2 linked regions of the Stegostoma tigrinum genome follow. The protein of the gene in region 1 interacts with the protein of each later gene in a biochemical or structural test. Links are inferred from orthologs where the notes say so. Each region holds a gene or a part of one and is shown on either strand. Other genes may lie near its edges.

Region 1 (10,747 bases):
AAATAGGAATTTTATCTACTCACCTTGAAACATCATAAAAACATGACCTCAAATGCACACACACACACACAAATAGAAGTAATAAGCTTAAAAGGAGGGTATTTAGTGTAGATGGAAGGAAAAGGCAATTGCAGTTTAAAGCTTGTCAAACAACTGGATTGTGAGAACGACTTGAATCCCGAGTGTTCAGCTGTTGTGTCGATTCTTCAATGGCTAAGTTCACAGATATCCCTTTTGTTTTCAGTAAATGGTTATTTTTCAAGTTGCTTTTTCACTGGACAGTGACTTCAAGGTTGAGAGAGACTTGGGGAAAGAGACTTCCAGCATATTATTGTTATCAGTTCACTTCTCTCTCTGCTTTGTTACACAAAATCTATTATCTTGTTCAGACACCGTTCCTTTGTGAATTCAGGTGTCTGGTATCAGTTTCTTCCCCAAACTGGATAATCTGCAGGCAATGTATCAAGCTAATTTGAAAGAACAATACAAAAATTGGGATGGCATCATGTGTTTTGCATTCCCTCTGTCTATGGGTTCAAAACCTGATTTGGGACTCCCTGTTGGAGTTATTCACAATATTGGCCACACTCCCAAGTCTTAACCTATCACTGCTCAATTCTGTAATCCATGGAACAGATTCAGGCATTTTGACATGTTTGAATTTCAGCGAGTAGTCAGTGATAATCTGATGTTTCTCACTTACAGTGTCGGAATTTACATCCTTCACACACTCTCATTTAATAATCAATGTGACTGAGTTTTAAGACTCAGTTCTGTTCTTTGGATCCACTAGTGGGCAATTCTGTGTTTAATTTGACTCTAATAGGTATGGTCCTGATAGCTTTTACCAGTAAATGTTGAGTGTGGGTGCGTTTGTTTGCCTTTTCTATGTTTTGGGAATGGATTTTTTCCCTAAAATATTTCAACCATCTAATAGTCATTCACCTATTAATCTATTCCACAGCAGCTCTTCTTCTAAGTGAGGCTTCACATTCAATTTACCCTGGCCTGTTTGTGAACTCCATTGCCCTCTTGGATTCTTATAGTGTAGATGCTTGTTAAGCAGATTGCAGACTCTGGCCTATCATTTCTTGTCAACGTCCTTTGCTTGTCTTCTTTTATGGCTATTGGCCCAACTTCAGCTCATCTAACTTCTTCAGGATCTGACTTGATCTTTACTGACACTTCTGGATGAACTTCAGCCCTGCTTAAATTGAATGGCCAAATCTGGCTAACCAAGCGTTATGGGTTTTACTGAGCATTTCTGAACTGTCTTAATTTCTGGTCTCTTTGCATTTCCTGCTATAATTAGAGTTACTCACCTTCAATCACTCCCTCCTGAGCTTTTGCTCCTTCTGAACCTTTTATACCCGGGCGTTCTGCTGCTCAGTGATGGCTTTCTCCATCTTCTCAAAGCTGTCCTTTTCTGTTTAAGGGATATGTTTTACTATCAAACAAAATTATACTCCAATAAAATATCTATCGTTGGCCTTAACAAACTTGGGACGTTTCCCACTGTTACCATTCACTGTAACACATTGACTCTATAGGTAAACATTAACATCCTCTATACTTCTCCCTGTGAACATTTACTAGCACACTGGAATTTAACTTGCTTCCACGTGGAACATTTTCCCTATTAGCAAGGTCCCACCCAATGTCTCAGAGAATGTGGTCTTCTCTTTCCAGCCGTTTAAAGGAATAAGTGGTCACTATTCATTTTTAAACAAAAATCTGACCGCTTTCCTCATTCATAGCATAACTGGACATGAATCACTTTGAATGCTAGACACTGCAACTTGGGTTTCTAGGCAATGTCATAACTAAGAATTTTATTTTCTATCCCCAGGCTTCCTGATATAGTAACATTTCTGCCATTTCCCAAATGTCTCCCACCTCAACCTACCCTGTTAACGTTTAGGGTCAATTCTGATTTCTTTGTCTGGTTTCCCTTTTCTCTCCAGCTTGTCTTAGCATTTGCCTTACATTTATCCCTCTCTGGTCTCGGCAGCTTCCACAACCACTTTCCTGAGTTACTAAGACAATGTGTTAACCCCTAGCTGTCAGCCAGAACTGCTGGCTGTCTGGGCCCTGCTCTCCAACGTTTCTCGAAAGAAGTCTGAAATAGAAACGATATGGAGTTTTTGACCAACTCATGGTACCTCACAGAGGTTTTCTTAGATGGCCTGAATTTTAAGTATCCATACTTATTGGGTACAAATGAGCACCTTAAAGCCTGTATATTCTAGTTATATAGGACAGGTAGATTATTTCTTGAGGGTACAAAACGTTTGTCTCAATGCCTCTAGCAAGACTGATATGCACTAAAATAGTCTCCTATGCTGCTTCATAGTAAATGGCATGTTCTACATAAGACAAAGTGAGTGATCTTTGAGCTTTTTCTGTCAGCTGCTCTACAACAGCAATGTTCAACAGTGGATTGGCTACTTTAAATACAGTGCTAACCTTTCAAAAGAGATGTGTCCAGCTCTTACTCATTAAGTTTAGGAATTAAATCAATAAATGTAAATAATTCAGGCATTAAATGCAAGTCTTGCTCCCTTACCAGAGCAGTTTTCTATCTCCCTCCTCAGGTCAAGCTGTCTGAATTGGAAAGTCCTTTCTTTCTTGGAATTCTCTTCTCTTTCCTTCACAACCTCGCGTTTTCATGTAATTCTTTTCAGCTGTTGGAATTCTAATTCTAATCTTAGCTGCTCTAATTAGTTTCTGTCTCTAAATACTTGCCACACATTTTACAATGTGGGTGAAACTTCATGTCTAACTACCCCTTTTAATTCTAAGGACAAAGCTTTTAACTTTTCATATGTTATTCTATCTTGCTCTAATAACAAATGTGGCCATTTTAGCAATTTTTAATCTTAGACTCAGTTTCTTTTACTTAAAAAGTTTTTTGATGGAACAATTTATGTATCCACTCCAATTCTTTTGTTTGTACTTGGGTTCTAATGGTGCAATTTGTTCTCATTTTTGTTGCTAACAAGTGAGGACAGGAAACAAAAACACCTCCCATCTTTTTAAAGCCCTCTCATAGCAAATACTTATTTCTCTTTTAGCAAATAAGTATCACACTTCAAATGAAATCAGTTAGGTTAAAAGGAGGATACAACATTTTCTTGAGCAAAAGAGGAATTTTATTACCTTCCAGTCCCAAAAACACACACACACACACAGCCACACTTTAAAAAGTGGTGGATGTCCGAGAGAGGAAGGTAAATGCAGGCACAGTTTAAAGTTATTAGAGTCCTTGAATTTGAGAATGATGAGTTCTGAATGTTGAGCTGTTGTGTTGTTTATTCAACTTTGCCAAAGTTTGCGTATTTCTTGCATTCTGGGTGAATATTGCTCTTGTAAAGTGTTTTTTTTCCATCAGACATTGACTTTGAGAAAGATGGGAAGAAAAAGACTTCCAGCTTCTTGCGATTGGTTCATTTTTCTTTTTCTATTTGCTACTCCAAAGCTGTTGACTGAAATATAGTTCATTGAAGAGTCAGGTGTCTGGCATAATTATTTTACCAAGCTGGATGATCTGCAGGCCAGATTCCTCCAAACATATAGCTTCCAGAAAGGTGTAAATCAACAAAGAACAGATCGAAGTTTCAGTGTCTTTCATGACCTGGTTAATTTTGGCTCAAATAGATCCTTGTATATTGACAGTTTCATGAGTTTTGCTCAATATGGTCAGGAGATCACACCAGCCTTTTTAAGCTCTGTATTTGTGCTCTTAGAAAAGTTAAATTTATTCCAATAAAGATCCCAGGTATTAAAATCAGATGATGGAAATTAAATATCAATAGACCATGTTCATCATTAACTTAACTGTAATGTCACAACACCACTGAAGGAGCACTGCTATATTGAAGGTGCTTATCGGGTTAGTTGCGAAATCAAGGTCTCATAATGCTATATTTAAGAACAACAGGGATGTACTCCTTGTGCTGTGAATCTCTCCATTGCTTCACATTATTCTGAACAGATGGTAAAAAATATTTTGATTAAATACTTATTCATGCAACATAGCTACACCAAAACTAGACGCCTCAATCTGGCCATTTTACAATAACAAACACTGGATCAGCGCCTTTTACCACATCAAGGCAAGTTCTAGGTTCTGTTAAACACAAAAAGGGCATTTATTTTCTTCAGCCAGTTGGTTACATCATGGTCAAATTTGAGTTTTAAATCCATATTAACAATGAAAACAAATTAAAAAGAATAATGTATCAGAGATAATGGGAACTGCAGATGCTGGAGAATCCAAGATAACAAAGTGTGGAGCTAGATGAACACAGCAGGCCAAGCAGCGTCTCAGGAGCACAAAAGCTGACATTTCAGGCCGTGACCCTTCATCAGAGAGAGATTAAAAAGAATAATATTGACTTTCATAAAAAGTTAAGATCCCAAATTGTCACACAAAGTAAACAAGAAAAAACCTTTGACAATAAATAGGTGAAGAACTGAACACGGAGTCTGCCTAACCATATAAATGGAGTTGTAAAACATGGCAAAGAACAACAGGGATTATCTTCATTAGTCCAGAACCGTTATTTATGTCTAAATTAACATCAATGAAAAGATTATAGTTATTATTACACTGCTGTTTGTTGCACCTTGCTGCATGCAAATTAGCTGGCAGGTTTACTTATAACAGTAAGTATGCTCCAAAAGTATCTCAATGGCTGTACTACCCACTGAGGGCATTTTGAAGTGGTGAAAGGTGTAATAGCACATCAGTAATTTTTTTTCTTGTGACTATCACACAGGGTCATCAACCGTGCCACATTTTCTTGGATTGGTCTTATAATTTGGCTTTTTCCCCCCCAGAGGCCCACTTCAGGCCTGGACAGGAGGTGTTTTGTCTCAGATGCCAGGCACACCTTTCCATTGTGCAAGACATGACATGGTTGGAAGGTTTACAGCTTGTGCTCAGGGCAGTCACATAGAAGTCTAGGAGGGGCATGGACCTAGTCTCAAAATTGGACAAGGTCAGAAATCACACAACATCAGGCTATAGTCCAACAGGTTTATTCAAAAACAAGTTTTCATAGCCTCACTTCTTCTTCAGGTGTCAGCGAGCAAGGTAGTATAAGAAACAGAAATTTCTAAGTAAAAGATCAGAGGGTCACACCACTGATGAGGATGTATTAAACTTAAGATACTGCCAAATCTTTAGCAGTTAGAAGTTTTAATTGATTACTCTGCATATGTAAATTCCCAAATTCCTTTCAAGTCACTGTCCTGACAGAATTAAAGGTTTCATCAGTGTAAAGTGACATTTTAGGTCAGACAATGTGTGTTAGGTAATGAGGGTTTGTTTAGAATCTGTTTATGTTTTGGTTTGGAGCCACACTGGTCTTATTTCTATACACAGATACATTCTATTTTGTTCAAAAAGTTCACAATTTATAGACAGTTAATGTTGCCTTCTATAAATTCCTACTACAACCTGGTGTTGTTTGATTTCTAACCCAACACCAGCACATCCACATCATCAAAATTGGGGCAAACCACACGGCAGCAGATGCCCCCCACCAATCTTTCACATATGCAACATCGCATGAACACCTCCTCATTCACAAGACCACCCCTCACCCCACAGATGCAAACTTCTTACCAGCACCGCTTACAACATAAGCCCCACTTACAAGTGCATCCACTGTGCCACGTCCTCCACACCCCATACTCAAGCTTCTGCCAGCAACTCACACAGCTAAACATCCCTTTAGTTTCTCCCAGCCACATTTATACAATCACACAGCACAGAACAGGCTCTTTGGTCCAACCAGCCCGTGTGGGCCATAATCCAAAACTAAACAACAGTTGGTCAACCAGAAAGCAAGATGGCTATCCTGAAGAGCCAGCACTGTTCCCCAATAGGCTGAATGGCCTCATTATATGCTGCACCCATCTTGGGTGGAGCCTTTACTCAGACCAGAGAAAAACAAGTCACTAGATGTGGCCAAGAGGGGGCTTTTGATGGCTTTGCCCCGCACTATAGTCCCTCCCACGCAGCCTTCACCTTCTCGAAAGTTCTGCGAGTTGAGCCAATGACGTCATCGCAGCAGCACTCCCCCCCCCCCCCATGTGACGCCATGTGGTGGCTTCTCGAATATTCTTCGGCGTTTCCCCTTTAAAACGGCCTTTTTACCGGGGGAGGGGGAACGAGTGTCAAAAATAATTAATTTTCACCTAAACTTACGAAAAACACACACTGTGAGAAAAACACGAAAGAAAATACGCGAGGAAACGCTCCGTAACGGTTTTTTTTTCAAAACGAAACCGGATCAAACCGGTTCCAACCGGTTGGCCGCTCGATCTTTTAGGTGGCAAAATACGCGCCTGCTTTTATGTGCTTTTTAAATACATGCCCTTTATCAAAACCTGCTTCGTTATTAAAAAGGATGTATTGGAACTGAGGAATGATGATTAAAAACGCCGCGTTTGAGAACTATTTCTGCGTCTGTTTTTTTTAGAAAAACAACTGACAGGCCATCGGACTGGGGAAACAGACCGGAAGTGTTTTTTTTTGTTTTCTCCACAACCTCCTCCCCTCCTTGCAGGCATGTAGTCGTCCTGGTCGGGGGCCTGACGGGGTGGACGGGGTCCTGGCGCCGCCATATTGCACTCAGTTCCCTTGTTGTTCTGTGGATGTGAATGAGTCGCGGGAGAGACGGACGGACTGGGAGAGGGAGAGAGGCACACACATCGTTATCGCTTCAGCTCCGTCACCTGAAGCACTTTCCCCTCCCCATCCCCCAACCCTCCCCTCCCCAAATTAACACTGTCGCTGAAGGTAAGAAGTGCTTCGCGACTTTTTTTTTAAAGAGCACCCTTTTCTCCCCGCTCTAATAACGGGGTGTGGTTCCTAAGATGTTAATAAGTAGCCTTTCCCTTCTTTTTCCCCCTTTCCTTTCCTCATTTCTACGACACCTTCCTGCATGCTGTTATGTAGAAGCCACAGACTAGGCACACATTCACTCTTCCTTCTTATTCCAGCTGTTGTAAATCTGATTTTTTTTTCCATACTTGGGTGTGCATCTCTCCCTATTTACTGTTGACTTTGTTTAAGCTCCATATCAAACTTAAATTGGAACATGTTTGCCTTGGGCAAATTTTGAAAATAACTGATTTTATTTAAAAGTCAGTGGCGACTTTTATGAAGAGGAGACAGATTTTTAATTTTTGCTATAGAAGTCCACTAAACGTTTGTTTTAATCTCTGTTGTTTTCCTGAGGACGGATGATCATAATATTGTGGCTTTTTGGGAATGTTTGGTGTGAAGTATGAATTTAAAGTAGATGTTGGTGAAGATTTGAATTGTGTAATAAATTAAAATGATTATTTAATGAAAAAAATTAAGCTTCTTGGGAAAGCCAAGGACAATCTAGTATTGATCTGTTTTGCTGATGCTACTTCAGAAGTTAAAGCAACTTTAAATGTTTTTACATGCAGGTGATTGGTCTTGATTTTATTTCCCTGTGTTGCCTTGCTGTCTCTTGTTCAGATATAATGCTGAAATTGCCCAGTTTGTTGTGTCTGTAAAAGCAACGAGTCCTGTATGTGCAAAGTGTATGTGTGGGAGATGATGTCTGGCAAAGTAGTGTTTTGCAGATTTAATGTTCATTAGTTTAATGTTATAGGAAACGTTTCTATCTTGAATAGAACCGGTTATTTTTCTGGAGTGAGTGGCATAAGGTTAACTTTTTAAATGATCTGTGTAGTATACATTTAGGAAGGAGACTGTTCTATGCAGATATTGTCATCTTATTTGAGTTGATCTTTTAGTAACTTTGAATGCTTTGATTTTGTAGTAGCAGTCCATTTGACCCAACTTAAACATTATCTCAGTGTACTTCATTGCATCCTAATAAATTCAATTTATTTTCACTTATTCAATTATCTTACCCTTAAATGCATCCATGCTAACAGTTTTTGTAATACTGTCAACTTCCTGTGGTGAAACTTTTTTAAGACTTTCAGCAAGAAAGAAACCCAAGTTTTATTATTTGGGTGTGGAGAAGAGGCAAGAGCATTTTTAAAATTGAACCCATTTTTGTTGCCAACCTGTTTTGGAGATGGTATTATGCACTTCTGACACTGGTGAGATCTGAGCCTGATCCCCTCAGCCCAGGTTTAAGGACACTATCACTGCACCACAAGAGGACCTTTGTGAAGATCTTGCCTGTATTAAAATCCCTGGCTGTGCTATCAGATGTCTGAGGAAGGAACATAGCTTCAGTTTCCTTAGGAGTTAAACCTCATTTCAACTAGAGGTATGAACCAGCAGGCCTCAATTGGTCCTTTCCAGTAGAAAGAAAACAGACTCTGTTTCTAAGTGAAACCATACAGGAGCCTGCTGAGAAAACTGAAATCTGTAAAGCCATGGAAACTGCCTGGCTGCAATGAAGATCAGGGTTTGTGGAAATTGATTGTACTGGGTAGCCAGATGAAGATGCTTCTGGGAAAGTCCAGATGTCATGGCTATAATTGCTAAATTGAAAGAAGTATGCAGTTTTGATGGTAATTGAATCTGGCACTTTCTGGTAGACAGCTAGTTATCAGAGAATGCTTGAGAGTCAGATCCTGCATCAAAGAAGGCAGTCAAACTCTATTGCTGGAAGTTGAGACTGACTGCACTTGGTGCCACATGCTAAGAAAGCTGCCTTGGTAAGTGGTGCCAGTTATTAACCTGTAGCTTATGGCTTCTACAGAATAGGACTTGCATATTGGTTTGCCTTTGTGTTGACTTTTTAACATTCAAACTAAAAGACTTAGTGAAACCTTATGCATCAGTTTCTTTTGATGTCGTTTGGGAAGTTTACTTGGATTGCAAATATAAATTTTCTGGATGACGACTGAGCCTGTTCATATGTGTGCATGTGTTTAGACAGTAGTCTGTAGATGAAAATTATTTCTTACCCTTTCTCATCTAGTTTTTGCTAAGTTCAGGACTTAGAGTCAGCTATTGTGGTAAACTTGGTGAATTTTGGAAGGCCAAACTTTCTTACCTTACTTTCTTCCCTGCTCCTGTGGACTCGTCCACCTTTTACAAAACAGTGATGCTTGCACTCTGTCGGACAATGGAGGAAAGGTCATACAGTCTGACCCTAACTATAGTTTGTATGTATGCAATGGATGTGGGTGCCTGGACAAAAGTCATTTGTTCATTCATGATGGAATCTTGCAGTTTGTGGTGACCTGTTGGAGATCCTGTGATTTTTATTTTCTGTCTTGTTAGACAGGGAGTACCAGAATTATGGGCTAGTGGTTAAGATATGTTTTCAAGATGATTGATGTGTTTCTCTGTCTGTGCTAATCATGTCTTTCAGTGTGGCTGTAGCTTTGGAATTTGAAGCAACCATTGGATACTGTGGTTGGTTTTTGCTCTGCATGGGCATTGGAAACTGCACTATGCCATGTAGATGGGATACACTGCTGTCATGCTAAGTTGGGTGGAATGCCAATGGAATCATGTCCACATTGTGGTGTTAGTGCTGCAGCCATTCAAACAAGTGGAGCTAATTACATCACACTCCAGGCATGTGCTTTTTAGACAGTGGCCAGGCTCTGAATTCCAAGCATCTGACCTGCTTTTGCAGCCATTGTATTTATATGGCTGGTCCAATTTGACCTATTGTCAATGAGGATTCCAAGATGTTGACTGTGATACAAGTGCAAAGAGTATGGGAGTGCAGAACTTGAGTACTGGTGCAAAACACATTAAAGCTTTTTGTCTTGCAATCACCAGGACTTGGTGCAAGAATACCATAGCTGCAGCGTAGAAGGAGGCCCTTCGGCCTACCATATCTATGCTAACCAACAGGAAAACCCTTATCTTGGTGATTCTTGCAATCTGTCCTGATGAGTAAGGTGAAAAGCTTTGACAAAATGCGTATTTCTTTTCAGCAATATTTATGATGCTAGTAGTGTTGAATTTTGGGAGTGAACTGCATCTTTGGAGAAGGTTGTCACCAGGCACATGTGTAACACAGATATCAGTCTTGGCACTCACTAACCTAAGCCTGAGTATTTGCTACAGTCATACTGCAAGTGGACTACATCTGAAGAGTTGTGAATGGAACTGAACAGTAAAGAGTCATCAGTCAACATCCCCTGATTTGACCTTTTATGATGGAGAGGCAATTGAAGCAGTTGAAGATAGTTGGATCTCTACATTGACCTGACAACCTTCCTCCAGCAGTGTTTTGCACTGAGAAGGTCAACTTCCACCATTCAGTGACCTCGCTTTGAATGAGGCGAAGAGATTTTCCATAAACTCTAATGGACTCTGTCTTACTCCAGTTTCTTGAGGTCATATTTAATCAAGCTGCTTTGCAGTTACTGTTGCTTCCCTTCTGGAATTTAGCTGTTTCATCTGTGCTTGGACAAAGTTTCCAGTTAGATTTGGAGCCAAGCAGTCTTGACAGAATCCAAATATTCAGATTATTGAGGAAGTACAAATTAACATTATTCCTTCTACCTCTTCTTTTGCTGACTTATTGGCTGATGCTGATTTGAGTTTGGGTTTTCCCAAGTTTTTATGGCCAGGGTTGATATCTGAACAGTTTTCTACTTTTTTTTTCCCCTTTTGTCTGAAATTGCACTGAAGCAGCTTTGCTGGAGGCACAGCTATATTTGTAACACTTGGAGTGCTTTGCCCATGGTGCCCTAACTCCTTTTCCATTAGCTTTTTTTAAAATTCCAAGCAGACAACTGGAGCTCACTGCTT
Region 2 (10,526 bases), on another chromosome or scaffold:
GCCTATTCCCAATTCCTTTGCCTCTGCATCTGCCCAGATGTCCTCGTCCTCGTTTTTCAAGGACAGCAACTCACCCCTGCCCCCCCACCCCCAACCACAGTGGTCGAAAATGCCCTTGACCACGTCTCCCACATTTCCTGCAACACATCCCTCACGCCCTCTCTCTGCAATAACAACCAAAACAGAATCCACCTTGTCCTCGCATACTGTCCCACCAACCTCCACTTCCAGCGCATCATCCTCCAGCACTTCTGCCATCTGCAATCTGACCCCACTACCAAAGACATTTTTCCCTCCCCACCCTTATCTGCTTTCCGGAGGGACCACACTCTCCATGACTCCCTTGTCTGCTCCACACTCCCCACCACCCCTGGGACTTTTCCCACAACTGCAGGAAGTGCTACACCTCCCTCACTCCCATCCCAGGCCCCAAGAAGACCTTCCTCATCAAACAGAGATGTTCAATTGCACATCAGCTAACCTAGTATACTGCATCTGCTGTTCCTGATGTGGCTGCCTGTACATCGGGGAAACCAAGCGGGGGCTTGGGGACCGCTTTGTGGAACACCTATGCTCTGTTCGCAACAAACAACTGCACCTCCCAGTCATGAACCATTTCAACTCCCCTCTTCCCTCTTCTTCCCACCCCCCCCCTCCCCCTCCCCCCCCCCCAACTCCTCAGACAATATGTCCATCCTGACCCTCCTGCATTGCCACAACGATGCTACTCGAAGGTTGTGGAACAGCACCTCATATTTCACTTGGGAACCCTGCAGTCCAACTGTATCAACGTGGACTTCATAAGCTTCAAAATCTCCCATCTTCTGACAACATCCCAAAACCAGCCCAGCTTGACCCTGCCTCACTAACCTGTCCTTCCTTCCAACTATTCCCTCCTCTCACCTCCAAGCCCCACCTCCTTCTCCCTACCAGCCTCATCCTGTCCCTTTGACCTGTCCGTCCTTCCTGGACTGACCTATCCCCTGGCCCCTAACTCCACACCTACACTCACCTTTATTGGCTCCACCCCCGCCTTTTTGACCTGTCTGTTTCTTCTCCACCTATCTTTTCCTTTATCCATCTTCTATTCGCCACCCCCTCTCTCCCTATTTATTTCAGGATCCCCTTCCCTTTCCCCATTTCTGAAGATGGCTGTAGGCCTGAAATGTCTGCCTTCCTGCACCTCTGCTGCTTGGCCTGCTGTGTTCATTCAGCTCTACACGTTGTTATCTCGGATTCTCCAGCATCTGCAGTTCCTACTATCTCTTGAGTACTCACTGCTGTGAGGCCCCTTAAATTCTCATCTTTTCTTCATTAGTTGGCACAGCCTGATGGTCGTATCTTTGAGCCCTGATTTTTAAGCATGCCACAGTGCACTCGATCTTGCATCACAAGCCCCACCTGCAACTTTCAATTTGGACATGTGGCATCTGGGGCATTAAAATAGACTTGTACCAGGAAGAAGTTTGGAAAGCACTTGTCTACAGAGCAGCAGTGTTATCAGCCCTTCTGCATGTGTTGGAGACATGTTCAATGTGCAGGAGACTCCCTCAAGTGCCTAAGAGAAATCACTAGCAATGCCTGTACAAATTCTTGCAAATTCATGGCAGGGTAGGTGATTCAGTATCAGTGTTCTCACAAGGGCCAGCATCCCTGGCAATGGAGATACTGTTTCTGGTCACTATGGTGCTTTGGATGAACCATGGTTTCCATGTGCCTGATAAGACTCCAAATCAGCTCCCCACTATGGGTTTCATTGACAAGAAGAAAGAGGAAATGTTTCAGTGCTGATCTCAAAATTTCATGAAGCAATACATTATCCCACCTAATTGTGGAAATAGCTTGCCCAAGATCATCTGAAATGGGGAAGGAACAATCCATTTTCAGCTTCTCCGAACGGTCCAAATAGAAACCAACGTACACAGCAGAATGTGAAATCCTTGAGTAGCCAAACCACCTGCTTCAGCAAACAGCACCCGTCCCATCTGTGACAGAATATGTGGTCCTAGTATAGAACTATTTAGTTACCATGTGACTCAAAATTGGAATGAAAGAACGTCAACCTTGGTTGCATGAGACTTTCTAAAAACAAGAGCCCACCAAGTGGTAGTGGTAATGTAGGGTGTGGTATAAATCAGGAAATTAGGAGTGCATTCAGACATAGTAATCATGGCAAACAACAATTTGCGTGTAGACTGGATTAACCTCATTAATTCCAATGCTGTGGAAAATAATCCCTGGAATATACATGTGATGGTACAGTTTGCTGAATAACCAACTAGAGAATGGGCTAGATCTTTGCAACTAGAAAGGGCTTATGCATTTATTACAAAGGGACCTTTAGGGAATAGTGACCATACTGTGATAGAACTTTGTTGTTTGAAAGTGATGTAGTTCAGTCGAACTTGGAGTATTTTTATCTTTTGTAGTGTTCCTTATTTAGATTTGAGCAGCAATTTGCACTGGAAAGTTAAATGATATGGCTGTAGACAGGTGTTTAAAGAATTAATACATTGCTTACAACAAATGTGCATTCTTTTGAGGCTCAAAACTCCCAATAGGAAAAGTGATTCAATTGAGGTTGACAAAATAATTCAAAGATTATATTAGATCAAAGGAAGAGGCTTTGTAAAGTTACTGAAAAAATAATAATAAGCTTGAGGATTAGGAGAACTTTAAAATTCAATTGACGACCAATAAGCTAATGAAGAAAAGAAAAGTGAAATATAGAAGTAAACTGGTGTGAAACCAAAAAGGTCACTGTCTTTTTATCATGTAAAAAGTAAAAGATCATCAAAGATAAATGTCCCATGACACGGAAGCAGGATAGTCTGTCTATCTGGGAAGTAAATGGGCAGAGAAACTAAACAAATACTTGATCTGCCTTTGCAGAGAAAATGCAGACAAAAGTTCCCAAAAATAAGAGAACTGAAGGACTAGTGAGCATGAGGGACTGAAAGTAATAGATGTTGGTAAGAAAAACAAAGTAGCAGAGATCTTAATGAGATCAAAAAGATGATCAACGGTGATTTTTTTTTCAAATATAAAAAAAACTTGTGAATGTTGCTGGGTAGACCTTAACTAAAATATAAATTATATCCCAGAATTGAGAGAGGTGACTGTAGATATAGTGGTTGCATTATGTGGTGGTCATTGTTACTTCATAGATTCTGGAAAGATTCCTGCTGATTGGAAGGTAGACCCTGCTATTTAAGAAAGGAAGGAGATAGGAAACAGAATTGTTTCCTTACACTGGTGAGTGACATCACTGGGGAAAATGCTAAAATCTGTTACAAAGAACAGTAACTGGGCGTTTCAAAATAATGGAAGGATTGGGCAGAGTCATTATGTTTTCCTTGCATAAAAATGTTTGATAAAGCTATTGGAGCTTTGTGGATATTAGCAGAATAGATAGAGGAGAACAAGTGGATGTGGTGCATTTCAATTTTCAGAAGGCCTTTAATAAGGATCTGTACAAAAGGTTAGCGCAATTTGTGTGCGTAGAATTGGGGATAATTTACTGGTATAGATTGAGATTTGGTTAGTGAAGAATCTTAGCAGGATCTTTGACAGGCTGTGAATGGTGGGGTGTGGCAAGGATCACTGCGTGGACTCCAGCTATTGACTGATTCCTGGGATGGCAGGATATGAGAAGAGATTGAGGCAAGCCTGCCTGTATTCTCTAGAATTCAGGAAAATAAGTGATCTGATTGAAGCATACAAAATTCTTACAGACCTTGACAGATGCGATCAGACTAGATTTTTCCGCTGCCTTGAGTCTAAAACTGGGGACACAGTCTCAAAATAAGGGATATGAGATGTGTTTATTAATTTTAGTTTTTTTGAATCAACAACTGATACTTCTCCTATTATTACATGCATCCTGTCTATAATTATGAGACCTTTTCCCCCCACAGTTGTTGAAATAATTTGCACAACTATTCTGTTTTGCAGGAGAGAATACTTGTTGATATTAACTGTTGTATCATTTATATAGTGAACTGACTGGATGGTAGGTCATAATTGGCTTTCTTTATGGATTTATTAAAACCAGAAGTACAGAGTAAAATTTCATTTATTTAAAACCAGACACTGGGGTTCCAATTGCACTTCTTATTTTGAGAATTATATTTGTGACTGGAAATTAGAGAAGTACGTTATCCATTAGTTGAGCAATTAGATTGGCTGAAATGGTGTATATTTTTGCGTGTGGTGAGCCTTCATTCTGCAGGTGTATGTAATACTTTGTATGTAATATCCCCACGCTCTCAGCTTGTTGCCAGGAACTACCATTCTAACTCAATGCAAACTGAAGCATGGATAGTAAAAATTTAAATTGAATTTATTTCAGAAGCTGATGGAGTTTTTTATGGTTTCGGGATTAATAAACCATGAGGCATAGATACGTGTTAATTGGCTTCTGATGTAAAGTGTGAGATTATGTATATTTTAATATTCATTTTAGAGTTTGGATTTCAGCTAGTGATGTAGATTTTGATCTGTTTACCTACAAGTGTTTATGACTAATATTAAAGTATTTCTGTACCCATAGTGATTTATTTTAAAGCAGTTTTCAAACTTTCTGGATAGTATAGGATTTTGTTTACATTGGGAGAGTTTGAGTCAACAAAGTAGATCGTCTGTTAGGCTGTCGGAGGATTCTGGAATTCCTTTGGGCTTGGAAAAAACATTTTTGATCTCACTTTGGGACAGTTTGCAGAAGTCATGGCAGATGCTGGATGTACAAAACAGATACTCCTGAGAATGGGAAGTTGCAGACTGTTCAGATAGAGAGTGAGGTAATGACGAAGAGCATCTCAACCACTGCACATAGCCAGTGGCTGTAGAACCGTTTTCTATCAAGACCCCTTGTAGGTGTCTTCAGGAGTGCATGACATGAGCATTAATTTGAAATGGAATTGAGATTTTATTCTCAGTTACCTTGTCCATGCATTGTTGTATTTCTGTAGATGGTCTAATCTTGCCTAATGTCTTTAATGGTATGGTTTTTACACAGTTAATTTCCACAAAACTGCAGTAATTTTGTGCTAACTCATTATCTGGTGTATGCTACGCTCAATAGTGTTACACAGTGAAATAACCACCTTTTCTGTACAGGAAAAGAAACATTGATGGGAAATCACTTTCCTGTAGCAGAGAATTATTACCTGGTAAGAGAAGAGCAACACTTTGTTTTTTCGGAGTGGAACCCTGCAGAAAGTTGCAAGTGAAAATGGCAATGCTTGTGTGTCTGCTATACTGTATTAGCTCAACACTATAAAATTTATGCAATTCTTCTTTGAGGCCTTTTCTTGCTCAATCGGATGATCATAACCACCAAGCTAAAAAGGAATCTTCTGATTAAGACCTTCTAATTCACAGAGGACGTTTTAGTCTGATTCATATCCATCACCCCGCACTGAAATCTCAGCTCATGTGTTGGCAGGTGCGACAAATTCTGCCACTACAGGTGAGATGATCCATGATATTCTGAAATCAACTGTATGCTAAACAAAACCACCTAATAATTTCTTTATTTTCAACCCCAATTAATTCTATCTCCAGTTTTCAAAATGAATTTCAGGAATCAAATTCACATCTTTGCTGAACCTTCCCTGTCTGTACACTATCTGTGTACTGCACTTTGTTGAAATTTGCTGATTTGTTTTTGAGATGTAATGTTTACAGTCAAACAGAAATGAATATGGTCTGTGATGAAGCGGAAAAAGATAGAGTACGTTCCATGAGCTTAAACTTAGATTTTGTAAGTTGCATTTCTCATACAAAACGTGACCTGCAATAATAACATTTTGGCGTTGTGTTGTTGAAATTGAATTTGTAGGAATTGCAGATGCTGTGGGCACCAGTTTTATAGATGTTACAACTGAGATATTCCGTAATATGGGCAGAGGCTTAACCGCTGCATTGGTTAGTGGAAATTTACTAATTAAAAATGGTAATCATATGCCTGTTACTCACTGCTCCAAATTCTGTCCTTGGATACAAATGATGCTTCTTTTCAATTCTCTCTTCTGTTTTGCTTATATTAATGATGCATAAATATTTATAAAATATTTTGTAAGTGTTGAAATATTCCAAAACACAACAGGTGAGATATTACTAATTTGATTGGGAGGTTTTTAATTGTATAGATGCTATGAGATTGATTTTGAGGTAGCAAATTAATTCAAATGTTTAATTTTCAGGCCTTGAAGTTGATATTTTGGTTAAGCTATGAAAACCATTTGGACTCAATGTCAGGTTTTATTGAGATGCAGTAACCTTCCGAGGATCTGAGACACAAACACATTACAGTAGCAACATAATGAGTGGCTTGGTGTTATGGGCGTTGCAAGAAATTCTCATGGTACCTCAGTAAGCTATATGGTTGATCTGTGTAACCTTTGTAGAACTGTTGAGCAGTGCCTACACAGTGTTTCATTAACTGTCAGATTTTAGATAATTTTGACTGCTTAATTGAAAAAGATAGTTGACTAATTTCATGTTTTTTTAAGTGTGGATGGTGAGTGGCATGTTTTTGTGACCCATTATGTAAAATAAAACTCTCTGATGTACTCATTTGGTGTTATTCTGTAGAAAGCCCAGCAGCCGTTACTTTTGTTGTAGAATGCGAATTAGGCAAAGAAATGGTGGTATAGTGAAATTACATCCAATGTAGATAATTGAGGGTTGAGCTTAGAGTTTTATAAAATCATGAGGGCCTAAATAAGGTGAGTAGCAAAGGTCTTTTCCTCCGACTAGAGAAGTTCAAAACTGGAGGGCATTTTTTACGGTGAGAAGAAAGATTTAAAAGGGACCCGAGGGCAACTTTTTCATATGTGGAATAATCTGCCAGAGGAACTGGTCGATGCAAGTGCACTTACAACATTTAAAAGACATTTGGGCAGGTACATAAATAGGAAAGATTTGGGGAAAAGAGTGCAATGCAAGCAAATAGGACGAGTTCTGTGTTTGGGAAACTTGGCATGAACGAGTTGGACCAAAGGTTCTGTTTTCTGTGCTGTATGGTTCTATGACTGACCCAATCAATTGCATATGATTGGACTAATATCCTTAGAATTGATTTTTTAAAAAATCTTATAGATGTCAAATTGTGTGTGGTGTATATAACTCCTTTAATCTGGTTGCAAGGCTATTACCGTTGTTGATTATAATTGAACTCCCATGATATTGTGTATGTGGTTAATTTTGATAGTGACTGAGATTGTGCATGGTGCTATTTAGTGATTCCAGAAGTGATTGTGGTGTGTGTAGTCTCTGCTGTGTTGATGCTTGGTGAGATTCACTTCTGTCACTGGCGCTTTGATAGTTACTTCATGTGAGATCCTGCATGCTCTAGTAATGTACTTGTACTGGAGTCTACTTTATTAGCCGAAAACTTTTTATTTACATTTGTACCTTCCACAGTTCAACATGTTGAATAATACTTGGAGGAAGCACTGAGCATGGCAAGGGTGCAAAATGTACTCTGGATGGGGGAATCCGTGTCTGCCACTAAGAGTGTTTCGACAGCAGTGTTACTGATCAAGTTGGTCGGGTGACGTAGCTACTAAACTGGTATCCAGCAGTTGTTGATGGGAGAAACATATTTGATGTCATCCTTCACAATCTGTTGATTGCCAACATATCTATCATTGATAGTATCTTTAGGAGTGAACACCACACAATCACTGTGGTAAATGGGACAGACTTCAAACAGATCGAGCAGTTCAAGACTAGGCATCCATGAGGTGCTGTGAACCATCAACAGCAGAATTGTACTCCACAATCTACAACCTCATGGCCTGGCATATTCCGCTCTTGACCATTACCATCAAGCCAGGGGATCAACCCTGGTTCAATGGAGAGTGCAGGAGGGCATGCCAGGAACAGAACAGGTATACCTAAAGACAAGGTCAACCTGGTGGAGCAAGTAAACAGGACTAATTGCAAGCCAAACAGCATACCAGTGATAGACAGAGCTCATTGATCCCATAACCAATGGGTCAGATCTAAGCACTGCAGTCCTGCCACATCTACTCATGAATAGTGGTGGACAATTAAACAACTCACTGAAGGAGGCTCCACAAATAGCCCCATCCTCAATGATAGAAGAACCCAACATGTCAGTACAAAATAAGGCTGAAGCATTCATAGCAAAAGTGGATGATCTATCTCTACCTCTTCTAGTGGTCCCCAGCATCACAGATACCTGTCTCCAGCCAATTCAGTTCACTTCACATGATAACTGGAAATATTTGGAGGCACTGGATTTTGCAAAGGCTATGGACCCTAACAACATTCTGGCAATAGTACTGCAGACTTGAGGTCCAGAACCTGCTGCTCCCCAAGCCAAGCTCTTCCAGTACAGTTACAACACTAGCATCAACCCGACAATGTGGCAAATTACCCAGGTATGTCCTACATACAAAAAAGCGGACAAATCGAACCTGGCCAATTACTGCCCCATGAATCTACTTTCAATCATCAGAAAAATGCTATAAAGCAGCACCTACTAAACATAAGCCTGCACACTAACACCGAGTATGGATCATTCCAGGGCGACTCAGTTCTTTATCTCATTGTAGCCTTGGTTTAAACATGGAAGAAAAGAACTGAATTCCAGAGGTGAGAGTGACTGACAGACCTTGTCATCAAGTCTGCATTTGACCATGTGCGCATCGAGGACCCTAGCAAAACTCACTACTGGTTAAAATCATATCTGGCACAAATAAAGATGGGCATGGTTGTTGGATGTCTGTTATCTCAGCTCCAGGACATCTCTGCAGGAGTTCCTCAGGATCGTGCCTTAGGCTGAGCCATTTTCAACAGCTTCATCGTGACTTCCCTCCCTCTTAAGGTCAGAAATTAGGGTGTTTGCTGATAATTGCAAGATATTCAGCACCATTCCTGACTCCTCAGATCCTGAAGCAGTCCATGTTCAAATACAAGATGATTTGGGTGGACAAGTGGCAAGCAACACTCTCGCCACACAAATGCCAGGCAATGACATTCTACAGTAAGAGCAAATCTAACCACCACCACTGACATTCAGTGGTCTTACCATCACTGAGTCCCTCACTATCAACATCCTTGGGGTTACCATTGAGCAAAAATTTAAGTTGGACTTGCCACATAAACACAGGCCAGGAACACTGGCGGGTAACCCGCCTCCTGGCTCCCCTGTACACAGTCTACTAAGCATAGTCTAGGAGTGTGATGGAATACTAAATAAAAACTGAAACCACTGTGGATGCTGTAAATCGGGAACAGAAACAGAAATTGTTGGAAAAGCTCAGCAGATCTGGCAGCATCTTTGAAGAGAAAATCCAGAGTTAATATTTCGGGTCCAGTGCCCCTTCTCTGAACTCATGATGGAATACTCCCCATTTGCTTTGATGAGTACATCTTCAATAACACTGAAGAAACTTGATGCCATTCAGGATAAAGCAGCCAGTTTGATTGGCTTCACATCCTCAAGCATTCACTCCCTCCACCACCAGCACTGGGTAGCAACAGCGTGTACTATCCACCAGATGCATTGCAGAAATTCAGCAAAGATCCTTAGAAATTACCTTTCAAATGCACGATCACTTTCAGTTATAAGGAACAGGGCAGCAGATACATGGGAAAACCACTACCTGTAAGTTCCCCTCCAGTCCATAATTGTATAAATGACAAATTTCTGTTTTTGTTTACTGATCTTAAAGAGGAAAGCAGTAAAGGGGTTGGGGGCATTATGTTTGTGGGCAGCGTGATATCATGAATATGACAATTGGTCTCCAATAATGTGTACTTTTAAACAGGACTTCAGATTTGTCACGCTAAAATCAATCAACAAGAATCAGTGACATGTGCCCCAGAGCCAGAACCTGGTTGATATTTCCTTTTTCCTTCTTTAAACCAAAAGTGATGAGGTTAGCAGATCTAGTTGCTATATTTCTTGACATTTACTTAATCCACGCCGAGTTAGACTGAACCTGTTACTTGTTTTGTATGAGTGATAATGGAAACTGCAGATGCTGGAATGTGGTATATTGTATCCATTGTACCAGGTGTGGCTCCCTCTACATTGGGGAAACCAAGCGGAGGCTTGGGGACCGCTTTGCAGAACACCTCCGCTTGGTTTGCAACAAACAACTGCACCTCCCAGTCGCGAACCATTTTAACTCCCCCTCCCATTCCTCAGACGACATGCCCATCATGGGCCTCCTGCAGTGCCACAAGGATGCCACCAGAAGATTGCAAGAACAGCAACTCTTATTCCGCTTGGGAACCCTGCAGCCCAATGGTATCAATATGGACTTCACAAGCTTCAAAATCTCCCCTTCCACCATCGCGTCCCAAAACCAGCCCAGTTCTTCCCCTCCCCCCACTGCATCACAAAACCAGCTCGTTCCCTCCCCGCACTGCATCCCAAAACCAGCCCATCCTGTCTCCACTTCCCTTACCTGTTCTTCCTGTCACCCATCCCTTCCTCCCACCTCAAGCCGCACCTCCATTTCCTACCTATGACCTCATCCCGC

The links.
Region 2: the proteins of SUMO-conjugating enzyme UBC9 (region 1) and pias1b form a complex in vitro, tested with the Homo sapiens proteins (12 studies listed by BioGRID, with this or other methods). The link is inferred for Stegostoma tigrinum from reciprocal best matches to the Homo sapiens genes UBE2I and PIAS1.

What each region holds. Positions count from the first base shown.
Region 1 is NC_081391.1:9,382,770-9,393,516, forward strand, and holds the start of SUMO-conjugating enzyme UBC9, read left to right. Parts: upstream 1-6,612; 5' UTR 6,613-6,811; intron 6,812-10,747. UniProt on the Homo sapiens protein: Accepts the ubiquitin-like proteins SUMO1, SUMO2, SUMO3, SUMO4 and SUMO1P1/SUMO5 from the UBLE1A-UBLE1B E1 complex and catalyzes their covalent attachment to other proteins with the help of an E3 ligase such as RANBP2, CBX4 and ZNF451.
Region 2 is NC_081386.1:29,952,165-29,962,690, reverse strand, and holds the start of pias1b (E3 SUMO-protein ligase PIAS1), read left to right. Parts: upstream 1-5,122; 5' UTR 5,123-5,132; coding exon 5,133-5,171; intron 5,172-10,526. UniProt on the Homo sapiens protein: Functions as an E3-type small ubiquitin-like modifier (SUMO) ligase, stabilizing the interaction between UBE2I and the substrate, and as a SUMO-tethering factor. Catalyzes sumoylation of various proteins, such as CEBPB, MRE11, MTA1, PTK2 and PML.